Linked DNA regions of Cricetulus griseus. The protein of the gene in region 2 interacts with the protein of the main gene of each other region in a pairwise test. Links are inferred from orthologs where the notes say so. Each region holds a gene or a part of one and is shown on either strand. Other genes may lie near its edges. The genes, in order: Gpbp1 and Fndc11.

The links.
Region 1: the proteins of Fndc11 (region 2) and Gpbp1 interact in binary tests that used the Homo sapiens proteins (3 or more experiments, as listed by UniProt). The link is inferred for Cricetulus griseus from reciprocal best matches to the Homo sapiens genes FNDC11 and GPBP1.

Annotation. Positions count from the first base shown.
Region 1 is NC_048595.1:329,367,816-329,371,646, forward strand, and holds part of Gpbp1 (vasculin), read right to left. Parts: intron 2,359-3,831; coding exon 2,256-2,358; intron 1-2,255. UniProt on the Homo sapiens protein: Functions as a GC-rich promoter-specific transactivating transcription factor.
Region 2 is NC_048599.1:684,595-687,198, reverse strand, and holds Fndc11 (fibronectin type III domain-containing protein 11), read left to right. Parts: upstream 1-958; coding exon 959-1,960; downstream 1,961-2,604.

The DNA.
Region 1 (3,831 bases), on a different chromosome or scaffold from region 2:
TTTAATATTGCTAAGATGCTAATATTACCCCAAATGACTTACAGATTCAATGCAATTCCATTTAACATAACAATGGAATTTGAGGAAAAAATCCACCCTTTTAGAAAATAAAAAAGGGCAGACAAGAAAAGAGATATGGGGGTGAGAGATATGAACAAATTCACTATATACATGTATAAAATCTCACAATGAAACCATTAGTTTGTTCAATTAATATACATTAATATAAAAGGCTTTAAGATAAACAAAAGAAAATTCCGTATTAAAATTTACATGGAATACAAAAGGGAGCCACAAAACTTGTTTATAAAATGACTATTATTCTTTTAAGCATCCCAATCAATTTCCCCTCCAATCTCTACTCCCAGTCCCTCCCCCTCACCTCCTCCTTCCTAGCCCCATCCATTCCTCCTTTATTTCTGCTCAGAAAAGTGCAGGGCTCCCATGGTTATTAACCAAACATGGCATATTGAGTTGCCATATTAAGGCTGGTCAAAGCAACCAGTGTGAGAAATACTCTCTTAAAAGAAAAAGAAAGCATCTTCAACAAATGGTGCTGGTCTAACTGAATGTCTGCATGTAGAAGAATGCAAATTGTTCCTCGTCTATCACCTTGAACCTGATAGAAGATAAAGTGGGGAATAATGCTGAACACACTAGGATGATGTTCCATCATACAAGAAGGATACTTGCTGTTATTCTTTTGTTTAAGCTGCAGCTGCTGATATAAAGAAAGGAACAACAGATAAACAACCCACGTGGAGTTTATTTACCAGAAAAGGGGGGAGATGGGGATGGGTAGTCAGCCAACACAAGAGGAGCCAAAAGGAAGACAGCGAGGGATGGGTGGCAGGACCTTTTAAAGGAAAGGTTGCATATGCGCACTGGGGTTTTGCACCTCACAGGTTGCAATGCATGGCAGGTGAGTGCCCCGTTGTTAGGGGGCGGGGTCAGGTCATCCAGGTGTATTGTTCTTACACTTGCTCAACTATCAAAACTTTTTGATTTTTAAACATTTATTTTCAACATGTGAAAAATTTGCTTTATGTGGTGTTTTGTCTGTATGTTTCTGCATGAAGATGCCAGATCCCCTGGAACTGGAGTTACAGAAAGTTGCCATGTGGGTGCTGAGAAATGAACCCAAGTCCTCTGGAAGAACAGTCAGTGATCTTAACTGTGGAGCCACCTCTCCACTGTGTCATGTGGATTTTCAGGATCAAAGTCAGGTTGTCAAGTTTGGTGTTAAGTGCCTGGACCTGCTGCGCTATCACCACCTGAACCCTACTTTTGTTCAGTAGCCATTCTACACACACACACACACACACACACACACACACACACACACACACACACAGAAATTTAAATTTAAAAAAACAAAAACAAACAAAAAACCTACATTTTTTCAAATCAGCATTATTCATAATAGCCAAAAGTTAAACAGATGAATAGATAAACAATATATGATAGATGCAAATAATGAAATTCTACTCAGCCTAATCCCAGAAGTGCTATATATACATAAACTTGAAGTTATGATGCCAGAAGTAAGACCATCACAAAAAGACAAATAGTGTATGATTGCATTGATATGAGGCATGGAAAACCACCATGTTTATATAGAAAGCAGAATAAGTAATTTCCAGTACTAGAGAATCAGAAAGTTATCATTTAATGGTAGTAGGTTAATGTTTGGGAACACGAACACACACACACCATGGATGGTGGTAATGGTTGTTAAACAATATGAATGCATTTAAGCCATTAAGCTGAATGTGGGTGGGAAAAATGGTTAAATAAATTTTATGTGGTATGTTTTCAAGCAAAAATACAAAATTTACTTTTACCAGAACTAGTTTTTAAAACCTGTAATAGATTTAGAAAAATAACTTCTTGATGCTCTACCAAGTATGTCCTTGTACTCTTTTAGAAAGGAAAATATACAGACCTAAAACAAGATGGTTTAGAATATTAAATGCTCTTTTTGGAAAACATCAAGAGCCAAAGTTAATTAAAACTTGTCACCCATGTCAAATCAATAACCAAATTAAATGTCTGGATAACAAAAAAGTATTTCGTTCACCTAGACACTGTATACACAGTAAGACACTGCAGACTTGTCTCAAAGGGAATTCTGGCCTGTGGTATAATGGCTAGTAAATTCCTAAACAAATAAAATTATTAGGCTGCCCCTACCACCACAGTGTTTATGGAAGGGTTGTTTTATGAGTGAATCAAAAAGGCTCAAGATTCCTTACCTGTTCACTAATAACTTGGAATTCTCTCATTTCATCCTCAGTTAAGGGAGCACATGTTTCATCATTTTCACTGTCTTCCTGCCAGCCCATCTCCTTTAATAGTCTGAAAGGGAGGAATGTAAATTTAATTTAGAGCTTCACCTGGGTAATGCAATTATTCCCTATATACTATGTACAAGAAAACATGATCCACAGTCCTCAAGATACAAAGGGACTTCTGAGTTTTTTCCTTACAAATGAGTAATTGATCAAGTAAACCATATTTGGTAGTAAATAAAAATGAACTGCTTCATTGCTTAATCTTCAGGGTCAAGGTTATTTATGCTGGAAACTTGCAAGAGAAAGAGACAAAAATAAAAAGTAGCAAATCCTTGTACTAAAAGTCGTAACGATGCCACTTTTGCTTTTCATATAACTTATTCTTCTATCAATATGTCTTGGTAGAAAACTATCCTCAGTATACAATTCAATCTGAAGAGGCATTATGTTCTATAATAACAGAAAAATGCTATTTCCAAATTCAACCGAGCTGTATATAATGAAAAATGACTAATAACAGCTTACTCTTTCCAATTTTTTTTAAAGAAAAAACTCCCATTTATAGAAAAACAGAGCCAAGAAAAGCCTGACAGAGAACTGACCATTTTGATCTGTTGGACAAGCATGTTGCACATAAAGCAGTAACCCTGAAGTTTCTATGTTTTTAAGGAAATCTATCTTTAATACATTTTTAAAAACTGTACTCCTTAAATATCTGTGTTACTTCTATTTGCACATCTTTCAACTTGTATCTATTACACATCAAGGCATTAAATAACTTCAGTCTCAAAGAATACAACAGTACTCATGAGCCCTGAAAAATATCTAACATGCTATCCATATTTTATAGAGGAAGAATTACGATCATTTAAGTAAAATTTGCTTGGGGCTAGAAAAATGGCTCAGTGGTTAAGAGCACTGGCTGCTCTTCCAGAGGGCCCAGGTTCAATTCCCAGCACACACATGGCAGCTCACAACTGTCTGCAAGCAACTCAAATTCCAGTGAATCTGATACCTTCATAAAATGCACATAAAGTTAAGTAAATTAAAACACACACACACACACACACACACACACACACACACACACACACACACACACACACAATTTGCTTGATTTGCAGCAAAGGAGAAAAACAATTTTAGTATTCTGCCTCCAGAATTAGTATGTTCCACACTGAACTGTTGCCTCAGTTGCTTTTTCAGTACACTGTCTTAACTATAATTGGCTGCCCTTAGAAATGGCATTTCTACTCAGCCTAATCATTCAGTATCATCGAATCCACAGCTTATAAACTAAGACTAATTAAAGTTTACTTTTGCTATGACCATTTTCTTTCTTTTACTTGTAAGAACTGGCAAAACATCATGATTCCTTTTGTTGAATCAACAACACTAAAAGAAAATGGAGACAAGGACAAGTATTCTTAACTCTCCAGCTGATAGATATACATGAGTGTTTATATTTAAAAAAAAAAGAGTTACCTTTACAAACTACTGTTCGTTACTAATAATGTATCTACTATAAGGTTATATG
Region 2 (2,604 bases):
ACTAGCAGGGACTTGTGTGGATGACCTCGAGCTAAGTCATCCAGTCTTTTAGTTCTGTTTCTCATTCATCCAACCCCAGTTCTCACAACCTGAAATCTCCAAGTGAAGCCACTGGCCTAGTGCCAGGGACAGCTGGCAGGATGTTGGTCCCTTCTCCAGGGAGCTCTGGCTGTTGGGCTGTGTGGCACATCAGTCTCTCCACAGACAGCCAGATTTGGGGACCAGGTATGGAGACAAGGAGAGGAGGGCAGACTTCAACGATTCCAACTTTGTGATAAACTGGATTCAATAGCATACACCCCTGCAGTCTCAAGAGGGTGTGATGAGAAGGCTTGAGCACAGGAGTTGGAGGGCAGCCTGGACAACAGAGTGAGATGCTATGTCAAAACCAAAAGTGACCATGGAGGAAGACCAGCCTACCAAGCTTTTACCTCAGACTCCCTATCTATCTGTGGGATGGTAGGGTGGGACCTGCTCTGTCTGTTCTTGGGCATACAAGGCCCCTCTCTGTGTGAGGATGATGTAGATTCCTGTAGTAGTGCTGAGGTATACCAGATCTCTGGAGAGTATTGGATAATCATCCATGTCCCAGGGGTCACCCTAAGCTTCTCCACAGCCCCAGGGGCACTGTCCATTATCCATGGTAGATGAGGAGCCTGAGGCTTAGGACCTGTCTCAGAGCTTCTTTACAGGCCATTCTGACCCTATAGTCCACTCTCTCAGCCCTGTTAGCTCATCACCACAAAAGACTATTGGCCCCTTGATAGAAGTTTCCTGTCCGTCATCTACTCTTGTCTAGTACCCAGCCTACTATTGTATCCCTCCAGGGGTCTCTGGTTAGAAGGCTGTGGTGCAGGGGAGAGCAAAGGACATTTGTGGGGCAGAAGGCCTCGGTGGAGGTCAGAGCCGGTGTGACTGTCATAGCTGATGCCTAGTCCTTACCCCCAGCTCCTGGACAATGAACTTCCAGGTGACAGGCCTGGCCCTGGACAGAATGAAGCTCGACAGCCCACATTCCTTCCTGGACTCAGAGGAGGTGGAGGAAGCAGACGACCAGCAGCTGCTGGAGCCGGAGGCTTGGAGGACCTATGTGGAGCGCCGCAATGTGCTGCGTGAGTTTCTGACCACAGACCTGAGCCCCCAGCTGCTCAAGCGCCACCACGCCCGCATGCAGCTGCTTAAGAAGTGTTCCTACTACATTGAAATCCTCCCTAAGCACCTGGCCCTGGGTGACCAGAACCCACTGGTGCTGCCTAACACCATGTTCCAGCTCATTGATCCCTGGAAGTTCCAGCGCATGAAGAAAGTGGGCACAGCACAGACCAAGATCCAGCTCCTGCTGCTCGGGGACCTGCTGGAGCAGCTAGACCACGGCCGAGCAGCACTGGATGCCCTGCTTGAGGCCCCCGACCCACGGCCCTTCCTGGCTGGCTGGGGGCTTGTGGAGCAGCAGTTGGCAGACCTGTCAGTTGTCATGGACAACTTCCTGGCCATGATGGTACCAGGGCACCTGCACGTCAAGCACCGCCTGGTATCTGACATTGGAGCCACCAAAATCCCACACATCCGGCTTATGCTGAGCACAAAGATGCCAGTCATGTTTGACCGGAAGGAGTCCGTGGCCCACCAAGACTGGGTCAGCCTGCGCTGGTTTGTCACCATCCAGCCAGCAGCGCCAGAGCAGTATGAGCTGCGCTTCAAGCTGCTGGAGCCGCGGACACAACAGGAGTGTGCACAGTGTGGCATAGTCCCTGTGGCCGCCTGCACCTTTGATGTGCACAACCTGTTGCCCAACCGTACCTACAAGTTCACTATCAAGAGGGCAGAAAGCTACACCCTGGTGTATGAGCCCTGGCGGGACAGCCTCACCTTGCAGACCATGCCAGGACCCCCTGGAGGGCCTGCCCCCAGTCGGCTGGGCAAGCCCAGCCTGCCCCTGACCACGCCTTCTGAGAGATGATTTTCTAATATTTATCCACTAATAAAGAGGAGTATACGCACACCAAATTAAAGACACAACCCTACTTAGGCCTTAAGGCAACAGCAACCATATAATTTTTTCCTGATGGCCCACAAGTCCCAGAACCCCTGTGCCTTCTGTCTTTTCCAGGAGAGCCCCAGACTGGACATTTCAGCACCACTGTCCAAGGGAGCAGGAAGTGCTGGCTGCTCCAATAATGAGAGCTGTTCCAAGGGAACTCAGCTCCCTCAGCCTCAGCACCTCCTATGTCCCTCACCCCCACCCCCCACATCCAGAACCAGATTTCTTTACCTGCCTCCTAGCTTGAGATCCCTGAGGAAGAGGATACTTTGGTCCTGTCTGGACACCACTGAGGGCAATCATAGCCTTGGTGTCAGCATCCCAGATGCCTTGGAGCAAGGATGCCCAGGACCAAATGATGTCTTACTTTTAAAATAAAGGTCTTACATTCTCTCCAAGTAAGCTGAAGTTCATGGACACCCCAAGTGTGTGAGGGTCCCAGACAGGAAGCCTGGCTGGGAACTTGTCTAAGACATTCAACGGTGCCACCCCTGCAGCACTTACTCTCTTTGCCAGTTGATATTTGGCCCACATAGGTGACCACATTCCTCACTGATGTCCAG